2 linked regions of the Canis lupus familiaris genome follow. The protein of the gene in region 1 interacts with the protein of each later gene in a biochemical or structural test. Links are inferred from orthologs where the notes say so. Each region holds a gene or a part of one and is shown on either strand. Other genes may lie near its edges.

What was found.
Region 2: the proteins of TEK (region 1) and ANGPT4 form a complex in vitro, tested with the Homo sapiens proteins (2 studies listed by BioGRID and IntAct). The link is inferred for Canis lupus familiaris from reciprocal best matches to the Homo sapiens genes TEK and ANGPT4.

What each region holds. Positions count from the first base shown.
Region 1 is NC_049232.1:45,610,898-45,615,677, reverse strand, and holds part of TEK (angiopoietin-1 receptor), read right to left. Parts: intron 4,144-4,780; coding exon 4,073-4,143; intron 3,052-4,072; coding exon 3,011-3,051; intron 2,087-3,010; coding exon 1,990-2,086; intron 615-1,989; coding exon 515-614; intron 1-514. UniProt on the Homo sapiens protein: Tyrosine-protein kinase that acts as a cell-surface receptor for ANGPT1, ANGPT2 and ANGPT4 and regulates angiogenesis, endothelial cell survival, proliferation, migration, adhesion and cell spreading, reorganization of the actin cytoskeleton, but also maintenance of vascular quiescence.
Region 2 is NC_049245.1:20,524,340-20,530,738, forward strand, and holds the start of ANGPT4 (angiopoietin-4), read left to right. Parts: upstream 1-2,398; coding exon 2,399-2,707; intron 2,708-6,399. UniProt on the Homo sapiens protein: Binds to TEK/TIE2, modulating ANGPT1 signaling. Can induce tyrosine phosphorylation of TEK/TIE2. Promotes endothelial cell survival, migration and angiogenesis.

The sequences.
Region 1 (4,780 bases):
TACCGATTGGCTTGTGGTGACTTTCAGTCTATTTCCCTATCCTGGATTTGCCTTTCAACCCCAGATCTGTATCACCAACTACCTGCTAGACATGTTTATGGAATTCCTGGCCCTCCCCCTAGGAACCTGCAGACCAGGCTAGACTGTCTACCGGCTGTGTGTCCTTAGACACATCACTTTCACCTCTTTGTATATATTTCTTCTGCAAAATTCAAGAGTCAGGCTAGATTCCTGATGAGGTTCCTTCTATCTCAGAGGCTAATGTCTACCACGTGTGACTATCTTTCATAGAAATCTTATTACCTCTGAAATGGTAACATCCTCAAAGTTGGGGGCAGGGGGCACATCTTTTATGTCCCTCTAATATCTCAGGCTATGCCCAGAACAACTTGTTGAGTTGTATCAACTGTTTTTGTTGTTGTTGTTGTTGGGTTTTTGTTTTGTTTTGTTTTTAAGCCATATAGGGTGCGTGAGGCATTGTGTTTCAAGAGCCTGCCCAGAACTCCATGCTTACCTTGCGTTCCTCTAACATCCTGTTTAAGGACACCAGGATCTGGGCAAATGAGGGCCTCTCATAAGGCTTCTCCCGCCAGCATTGTCTCATGAGGTCATATCTTGGAAAAGAAAGAGTTAAGCATTGAACTCTGTGACTCTGCTTCAGTCCTTGGCATGGCCCAGTGTGGGGTATGGAAACAAGAGAAGATAATGTAGGCATTCCACACTTGGTCATCTGTCTATATTTAATCAATAGCACAAAACTACAGCCCCAAGTTTCTATCTGGCCTCCCACCTCACTCCACAAGTCCTCTTTTCTTCTTTCCGCAAAACTAGTGCCTATCCTGAGTACCATTCCTATGGGATCTTGGTCTCAGCTCTTCTGATTATCTGGAAAGAACAGAGTCTAGAGCAACACTTCCCTTGGAATACCACATCTCTCAAAGGTTAGTAATTCATTGAAAAAAAGACTCCATGTTCTAATAAATTTGCCAGGTGCCATCTATTGCATCTCTCTCTTAGGGATCAGCAGAGTAAAATCTTGAGAAGTCTTGCCATTACAAACAAAAAACCTATTTAACCTGACCTAACATGGAATTTGCCAACCATAAGTGGCCACAGCACTTCTTCCCCCTTGTATCATCTATTTGTATCTTGTGTGTCTCATGAACATAGTCTGGGAAGCCCTGGTCTAAGGCAGTACTCTCTCAAATGGGGTCAGAACCACTTACGTTGTCAAAATGCTGTTTCCTGCGACTCACCTTAGACCTACAGAAGTGATGTCAGAGTGGGGCTCAAAATTTCACATTGGGACCAAATGCCTCACGGGAACCTGATGTGCACAAAAGACTAGGAACCTAGCATGGTCTAGGTTTATGTCTCTGGTACCAGGGACATAATTAATACCACTCTTTCTTAGAATTGGCTCAGCTTGGACAATAACTTCTTGGCTGAACCTAGAGCCTTGCACTTTCACAAATGCCAGTCAGGCAGCAGCTACTTCAGGTAGCTCTGGGAATGGTGGTGAAAGCTAATCATTCTTCCCCAGGGAATAATTCTTACTCCTGGAAAATAATCCTTGCAGAATCAAGATTCTGTGACCAAAAAATCCATCTTCCTAATGTCACAGCTCTGAAATCTCTATCCCCAAAGTTAGCTTCAAGGTTTCATACATTTATTCATGAATTTCTTTCAGACCTCCTCTGCAGTTGTTGCCTTTCTTCATTTTCACCTTCTTGATACCATCACCTTAAATTCCTCCCAGATGCCTATGCATATAAAGCTCTTAGCTCCCTGCCCACTGCACAATGGTCTTAGTTTAAGGAACCACCCCCGCTTTTTTTTTTTGGCTCTTTGGGATCTCAATGTGTGTGTATGCATAGATATACACATATGTATGTGTGTATGAATCAGGTAACCCCTTCATTATACTCTGCCCAAGAAACATGCAGGGGAGGTTAAGATAAAATGGCCTTAGGGTGCAGCCTGACTTACACCTCGTCATCACAGTTTAGGGGCTTCTCCAGTCTGTAGCCCTGGGGCAGTTTCTCGTACAGTTCTGCGCATGTCATCCCGCAGTAGGGGGTGCCACCTGGAAGACAGAAAACCATGTTGCCCTAAGCCCCCTCTAGTGTGGAATGCAGTGTTTCCTGCCCCATGCCTCTCAAGCCGAGAGACTGGGAGAACGGCAGGGTGTGCCCAGGGAGGGTGCCCAGGCAGCATGGTCTCCCTCTGAGCAAACCCACTCCACATCACAGCGGCACATGTGCCACAAACCGCGCCACAGAGCAGCCGATCCCTCAGTGGAAAGATCCAGCATGGGGAACCGGACTTATTGTGCTGTTTCCCTTCCCTAAGTCAGCCTGCACAACCCAGCTATTATACCGATAAGATGTCACTTTTCCCTACTTGGGAGCCTGCAGTTAGGTTATCCAGTTCCTATTTGTTCTATAATAGTGACTGACCAATTTTAATTCTAAATCATACAGGTTTATTATAGAAAACTTGGAAAATACCAAAAAAGTATGAAGGAAGCAAGCCATAGTTTGTATTACTCTTCTTTGTAGTTCTCTCAGGTTTTTCATGTGTAGTAATTATAAAACTGCAATCATAGCATAAGGAACTTTCTGGGTTTTGGCCTGCATGTTTTCACATGCTGCTAAATGGCCGTCAGAGATGACTCTTCATGGCTGTGTGATGTACCATCTTCAAGTTGTAGAAGCAAACTTGTGATAGTTCTGTGACATCTCTGCTCAGAGACAACCTATAATGAAGCTCACAGCCACCAGGCTGTTAGTATTAAATATGACATTAGCTACAGGTTCTTTCAAAAAAGAACCCTGGGAATAAACAGACACCTACAGAGAAACCTTTAAAGTTCTATTCCCAGTCCCTTCTGGTGGTGCCACATAAAGACCTAAAAATGGCACCTGTGGAATTCCACAGTGAGGAAGCATAGGAGGGGCCCACCCCCATTGCCTGAAGTCTCACCTGGCGGATAAACACGGATACTCACCTAAGCTAACAATCTCCCACAGTAACACTCCATAGGACCATCTGCAGGGGAGATGATGGAGAAACCAATAATCAGCAAACAAGGTGACCAGTTTTCTGCCTCAAAATTCTGGATGACTGACGCTTTGCCAGAAAAGGAAATGTTAAACGTGTCCTCCCTAGGACAGGGCCCTGTATGTGGCGTATGTGTCATCTCCTCTTAGGCCAGTGGAAGGATTCTAACAGGGAAACAGTGTTAGAGCCCCCACTGACTTTAGGCGGAGAATGCAAAGTGGTACTGGGGACAGCAGGTGCATTTCTAAGCTGACAGACTGGAGTTAAATCCCAGCTCCGCCACCTGATACTCGTCACCTGGGACAAGTTACTGAACCTCTTGAGGCCTTTTGGTTATTCTGAAAGTGGGGACACCAGTTGCTGCCTCGGAGTTATGCAGACAGGATGTGAGAGAACATATAAAATGTACCTTGCATGCAGTGAGGACACAAGTACTTGCTGGCCCCCCGCCCTTCCCCGGGCAGAAGCTGAACTCCCTGGACAAGTCACCTGAACCCTTGGGGCCTCAGTTTTTCCTCCCGTCAATAAAGGTGTGGGCAAGATGGTGTACGTCTCACTTCCAAACCTTCCTTCCAGCCTCCTGAGACTTGTCCCTGCAGGCTGCAAGGGAGGATGATCCCTTGATCTGGCCCGCCTTCTGCCCCTGCCACCTCTGACCCCCAGCAGCCTGCCTCCATGCTCTGGGTCCTGCATGCTGAGGTCAGTCTGGGAGGTGAAGCCACAGGAAGCCCCATATGGCCCTTGTCCCTCTGGAGATGGAGAATTCACTACTTCTCCTTGACAGGCAGAAGGAAACCCACAGCCTGCCCCCAGTGATCTTACACAGTGAAAACTGTCTACTCTGAGGCTTCATTTTTGCAGACTAGGAATGTATTTCCTGGGCTTATTGACTAGCTTTTTTTCCACAGAGGGACAGGATATTCCTATTTCGCTTTAAGACCTCTGTCAAATGCTTATTCTTCTGGAAAAAAAAAAAAAAAACAAACCTCAGAATAAAAGGCTTACTCACACATCACTGTTGGTTGTGTACACACTGTAGTTTAGTGACTCGATTGCCATCCAGCGCACTGGGAGCCTTCCCTGGAGAGAAAACAAAGTGAGATGCCACTTAGGCAAGATGGGGACCCTTCCCAAGACACACAGCTTGCCTGGAGCTGGGGCTCCCTCAAGCCCACAGGGGACTCTACTTTGAATCCCCCAGACTTAAGTTATGGTAGGATCAGGAATTGCTGGTTTGTGTACACGACACACACAAGAGTGTTCTCGAATTCAAAGACATGCGAAGACTATCAGCCCTGTTGACCTCAAGCAGTCCCTACAACAGTTTTACATAAAGAAAAAAATAATAATTAAATGTGTGGGTTTGTGTGCGTGTGGATGGCTAAGTGCCTTTCTGGTGGGCATTTCATTTATTCATTTTGTGGCTCTTGGAGGCACTCAGAAGTTTGAAAGGGGAGGGAGGCAGAGAAACCAAGAATTAAACTGTAATGATCCCTGGGTGGCTCAGCAGTTTGGCGCCTGCCTTTGGCCCAGGGCCTGATCCTGGAGACCCGGGATCGAGTCCCACGTCGGGCTCCCTGCATGGAGCTTGCCTCTCCCTCTGCCTGTGTCTCTGCCTCTCTCTCTCTCTCTCTCTCTCTCTCTCTCCCCCCCACTCTCTCTCTCATAAATAAATAAATCTTTAAACTGTAATGTGGGAAAGACTCAGGTGATGGGA
Region 2 (6,399 bases), on another chromosome or scaffold:
GATTGTGTGTGTGGTGGGGAGCGGGGGAGCTCCACTGCTCCAGCAGGTAGTGTAGATGCTCCCTGCAGCAGTGCATCAAGGAGGTGACTGAGGGTGGAGGCTGGGGGGCAGGTAGGGAGGAGTGGGGTGGAGGCTGACTCCTTCGGTGCCAGAGGGGTAAGTGGGAAGAAGTGAGATGAGCTTCAAACCCACCTGGCAGCAGAGCCTGCCTTTCTGTCCCAGTTCCAGGTCAAGCGTCTCCAGGCTGTGTGACTTTGGGCAAACCACTCTCTTGCTTTGGGTTTAGGTTTCTCCTTTGTAAAATGGGGACAATAGTGACACTGGCCTGGTCGGGCTCATACCATGTAGCTCAACCAATACAATCCTCACGTACTGCCCCTTACTCTGAGCTCACTCGTGCCAGGCACCAGGATCAGCTCCTGACCTGCATTAGCACGCTTCTTCCTCACAAGGCCAGGAGTAGTGTGATCCCATTTACAGTTGAGACAATCAAGGCACAGGTGAGCAAGCAGGGTCCTGAGCACACAGGAAATTCCGTGAATGCTGGTGGCTGATAACCAGCTGCCTTTCCTTTTCCTGCCAAAGCCCCACACACCTGGTTTAAAGTTCTCAGACGTCCGGATGAGCTCCTGGTTCCTGCTGCCCCCAAGCAGGCTGCCCATTCACAACTCCATAGGATTTGAGAGAACAAAGAGAGAGAGACAATGGCAAACAGCTGGTCGGGCCCTCATTCTGGGAAAAGCCCCAGAAGAAGGCAGAAGGCAGCACACCCAGAAGAGGTGCCACCACTCCTGGGAACCCCCTGCCCAGCGGCCACATCCCCCCAAAACATGTCCTGCCCTCATAGGGTTCATATTCCAGTGGGTGTGGGGAGGGGAGGATACGTAGTAACTATAACGCTGATCACAGCAATAGAAGTATTTACTTGGTGCTCACCCCCTGCCGTCCCTGTTCTAACTCACTTAATTTTCACACTTTTTAAAGATTTTATTTATTTATTCATGAGAGACACAGAGAAGCAGAGACACAGGCAGAGGGAGAAGCAGGCTCCCTGTGAAGAGCCTAATCAGCACTTGATCCCAGGACCCCGGGATCCTGACCTGAACCGAAAGCAGTCGTTCAACCACTGAGTCACCCAGTTGCCCCTAATTTTCACAGTCTTTGAAGTGGGTGGTATTATTTTCTTCAGTTCACTGAAAGAAAACAGTGGCACAGAGAAGTTAAGTGACTTGCCTAAAGTCACACAGCTGGGATAGCCAGGATTTAAACCAGTTAACAGGTAAAGTAAATAAAAAATTCGTCGGTCTCCAGGCTGAGGACCCACATTACTTTCACCGTGTAAGAGATGGGGTTTACCCAGCTTACCAGTCAGGGTATGGAGACACAGAGAAATTCAGCTGCCCACCCGAGGGTCAGCAGCTGGGGAGCAGGATTTAGAGGCAGCCACCTCCGACTCCAGGCTGGCAGAGGCACTTCTTTACCCCAAGCTATGCTCTTTGCAATCCGCTTCCCTTCTCGGGGCCAAAGGCAGTCCTAGAACAATCTGCCCCAGGACAGGACAGCCTCTCATTACTGTCACAACAACTGAGCCAGGGCCACCCCAGGGCATAACATCCCCCCCGTGGTCCCAAGGGAGAAGGGAGGCTGGGAGCCAGCTCCCGGCTAGAGCGCCCACTTCACTGGCCTCAAAAGGACATTCTCAAAAGATTGGACTCGCTGCCTCCCCTCCAGCCTCACCCCTCTGCCCCCCCTTTGCTCTCTCTGGGGGTCACTTCGCTTGTGTTCCAAGCACTTAACATGGAATCAGAATGGGGAAGGTAGGGGGGAGAGGGAAGGGGAAGGGGAGCTGAAACTTGAGATCCCAGCCTTTGGTGGGGGAAGGCTGGAGAGAGCCAGAGAGAGACAGAGACAGGAAGAGAGGGTTCAGTTGCCTTTGGTTTTCTGAAGCAGGCAGCTTTGGGGGTTTGGCGTGTGCGTGTGTGCATGTGTGCGTGTGTGCGTGTGTGCGTGTGTGTGTGTGTGTGTGTGTGTGTGTGTTGTTTTCTTTCTCAGGGGGAAGCCAGGCCTCCACTGGATAATAAAAGAACTCAGAGGCGAGGCCAAGCTGGGCGAGCAGGGCCAGTGCGGGGACAGGGCAGCTGTGGGCAGGAGTCAGGAGGAAGGAAGGGAGAGGGGGAAGGTTCGAGGTGAGGGGGTGTCTGCAGGCGGGAGCGAGGCGGTGGGAGGAAGCCGAGCAGCTGTGGTATTTGGAGCGAATATAAATAGCTGCCTGGACAGAGCCCGGCCAAGGGGTTCGGCTGCGGCCGGCAGGCAGGCCTGTGCGGCTGGCCTCGGGGGCGCGGCGGTGGGCAGGCGGGCGGGGTGCCGGGGGGCTCGGGGCCCACACCCGCATCTCCGGATGCTGTCCCGGCCGGCCATGCTGCTGGGTAGCCTCCTCCTCACCGCGGCCGCCCTGACCGTGGCCCAGCGCAGGGGGCAGGAGGCGGGCGGGCGCCGCCGGGCACACCGCGTCCAGCACGGCCAGTGCAGCTACACCTTCGTGCTGCCCGAGCCCGAGCCCTGCCCACCGGAGCCCGAGGCCTTCGGCGGCTCCAACAGCCTCCAGAGGGACTCGCCCGCAGCCCCCCTGAACCTGGGGGACTGGCCCACCCAGCGAGTGCAGCAGCTGGAGAAGGTGCTGGAGAACAACACACAGTGGCTGCAGAAGGTAAGGGCTGGGCCTGCAGGGAGGTGGTGGCGGGAGGCATGGGGGCTGGTCTCCGGCTGTCTCCATGGAGAGGTGGGGCGTCCTCCCCAGAGGCCTGCCCAGGGCACAAAGGCCAGGCTAATCAAGGCAATGTCTCTGAATTGTACAGATGGGGGTAATGAGAAACAGAGAAGGACAGAGATGGCCCTGACGCCGCACAGCAAGACTGGGCAGGCTCAGAGCTGGAAACCTGGCTCCCTCACAGCCATTCATTCACTCATCTGAGCGAAATCCAAATCAGTGAGCTCTGAGCACAGGCCTGACCCATCCTAGGGGCCAGGGATGTAACAGTAAACAGAACAAACAATACTGGACTGGTAGGGGAAAGAGGCCATGAAGAGATGAGTGATAAATACCTGCCACGTCAGAAGGTGACGTAAAATGGAGGGAAGAGGGCAAACGATGACAGGGTGGCTCCTTGAGGTCAGATAATTCCAGAGGACTTCTTGGAGGAGATGATGTCTGAACCCAGAGAACAAGTAAGATAACGGAGCAGCCCATGCTGGTACCTGCGGGATGGGCATTCACTACAAAGGGCCCAGCAAGTACAAAGGCCGTGAGGTGGGAAGGCAGTCAGGGTGCCAGGGGAACCTCGAGGACCAGCGCTGCTGGAGCAGAGAAAGAGGGGAGAGGGGTGCATGAGCAGGGGAGGGGAGAGGAGGCAGGTCGTGTCAGGCCTTGGGGACTGCTGGGAGGAAGAACTCTGGCTCTTGCTCTGAGCATCACAGGAGCCAGTGCAGCTCTTGGAGCGGGGGAGACACAGCTGACTTGGTCTGAACAGGATACACTGTAGGGGGCAGGGTGCATGCTGGGAGCCCGAGGAAGAGGCTGCTCAGCTGCCAGGCAAGAGGTGATGGAGGCTTGGGGCAGGACCCGGCTCAGGGAATTCTGCTTTATTCTGAGAGGGGGCTAATCGACCCTGCTGATGCATTGGGTACAGGGTGGCAGAGAGTGAGGAGTTGAGGACACTCCACCCTGTTCTGGACCAAGGCCAGGCCCACTCTAGGGTCTTCTGTCTTCATCCTTTTGGCAAACACTCTGAGTACATGGTGTGCCGGGCCCTTGACAAGGCACTGGGTACAGAGATGAATGAAGCTGGTGTGGCCTGGCACAGGCATGGGGGTGGGAAAGGTGTCCTGTGTGTTCCAAGATGGGGTTGGCAGGAGCCCCTAAGTAGGAGCAACCGAGGAAGAGAATGAGACCCAGGCCCCTGGTGCAAAAGACAGTCTGAGCAGTGAGCGGCGTGGCGTGGAGGGAAGCGCACTGATTCCTAAGGCCCTCAGATGTATTAATCGGCGCACAGCAATGGACAAGGTGTCTCTCCAAGGAGCACTGCCTTCTTACTCCTTGGTTTCCAAACTGTTCAGATCATGTGCCCAATCAGCAAACAATGTCTACGTCCCTGATACATGCATATTTATTTAATATATGTGCACATGTCCCCACATCAATATAAGTACAGGGAATAAAACAAAATGAAAGGGAACCTTCCATTTTCAAAAAGATGACATATGAAATCATGTAAATTGAAGTTTTAACAGTTTCCTCTGTTGTCCAAAGGATTACCTTGAGCACACCCTGGGTTTATCTGTCCCCAAGGTGGAGAAACTGCCCTATGCATAACTAACCAACCTGCTTTGCACACTTGTATATACACTCTTGTGCATGTGCACTTAACCTCCAGTCTTATTCCTGCCCTGACCTCAGCCCCCACTCACCATCTTCTCATAGTCCCTTTCCCACCTGCCCTCCCTGCCACCCGCCCTGCAATGCTGCCAACCTAACATCATCCTGGAGTCCCCCTCCAGGAAGGCCATGGCCTCACACACTGGAGCCAGCCCACTGGGGGCTCCGTGCTGCCCTGAAGTCTGTGTGTTTCCAGTTCCATGAGGGTCATCCCAAACCTCACCTCCCCAAGCCTCCATCTTTACTGTTCTCCATCCTCTCACCAGACCAACGACCTCCTGCTTCAATGACAAATGAGGGCACAGGGAGAGCTACTCTTCATCCACCTGTCCCACGTCTGCAATTTCACCCGTGCATCTACCAGTTCCCAAGACTTTTCTCTCGTTCAGAAAGAAGGGGTTCCTCCATGGCCCAAGGCTACACTTCCTTCCTAGGATGTAGATCCCATCCCCCTGCAGCCCCTGCACCTCCCCAAGCCAACTGTCCCCTCCTGTGCTCCCACTCTGCTGATTTCTTCCTTCAGTGTTTAATCCCATCTAAGCATCTCCCATGGGGGAAAAAAAAGGAAGAGGAAGGAGGAGCAGAGGAAACAAGCCTCTTCTCCAAGCCACACCCTTCTCTGCCTCTGCTTCCTCACATCCCATTTACTCCTTCCTCCAAAAGTCACCTCTCACATCCCACCTCCCACATCCAATGGCCGTGGCTTAGTCTTCATCAACTTGATCTCCTGACAAATTTCATGTTGCTGACCAATACCATCCTTCCAAAAACTGTCTCCATCCGCAAGTCCTCATCCACAAAACATGCCCACTCTGCCCTGCGTCCCTACTGCTTTCCCTACCTCCACAGCCCCACCCCGCACCAGCACCTCTGTCTCCCATCTAGACAGTCATTATGGCTGCTCGCTGGACTCCCTGTTTCCACCCTTCCCACCCCACTCCCTACCTCGTCCATTACTTCAGCAGACAGAGGGAACCTAAGTTAGATCCTGTCCCTCCTCTACTTAAAACCCTCCTGGGGCTCCCATCTCTTTAGAATAAAAGCAAAAATCCTTAGTCCCTAGAACACCCCCTCTCCAAGGTGCCCACAGGGTTCACCCAACCCCCCTCAGGTCTCTGCTTAAATGTCCCCTCCTTAGAGAGGCTCCCCCTGTCCATTCCATTTAAAACAACCACCCTCCCTCTGTCCCTCTGTATCCCCTCAACCTGGCTTTGGTTTTCTCTCTTAGCATGTATCACTACCCATTCTTAAAGCACTTCTATTGGCCTGTGCATCCGAGAAAGCAGGGACAAAGCAAGTGCTTTGTTCACTACTGAGTTCCCAGAGCCTAGAACAGTGCCTGGCACAGGGCAGGTCCTCCACACACGTCTGTGGAGTGAGTGAACTAATTAATACACGAAGGTCCCTGAGTCCCTCCGGTCACTCCAGTCCTCCCACACCCTGGAATGCCAGTGTTTCCCAGGGCTCTGTCCCTGCTCTTCCTTTCCTCTCACCCTTCATGGCACAGGCCCCACCCCCGGGCTGCCCCACCGCCCCTGCAGCACTGTCTCCCACCTGCCCCATGGTGGCGCCAAATCAGCATCTGGCAGTCTCCTGAGCCCCCAATCCATGACCCTGACCCTGCAGGTGTCTCTCCTCTCAGAGGCCATTGTGCCTCAACCCCAAAGCTGCTGGACACTCAGCTCTTCCCTCCCTCCCTGTCTCTGTTTAAGACTTTCTGAGGCCCTAGGGTGTCCTTCATGTCCATCTATCCCCAAGGCAGCAGGTCCCGCCCTTCTTATGGCCTTGGCTTCTCTCCTTGCAGTGCATTGTCCTGTCTCCCCAGCTGGGACTCTGCTCAGGACTTGTCACCTCCCCCACTGGCTTCTCTATCCTGAGCCTTACCCGCTCATCCATCTTTGACTCTCCTGGGTGCCTGGTGTTCAGGCAAATTTGACTGAGCCAAAGGATGAATTTAAGTCAGTGGC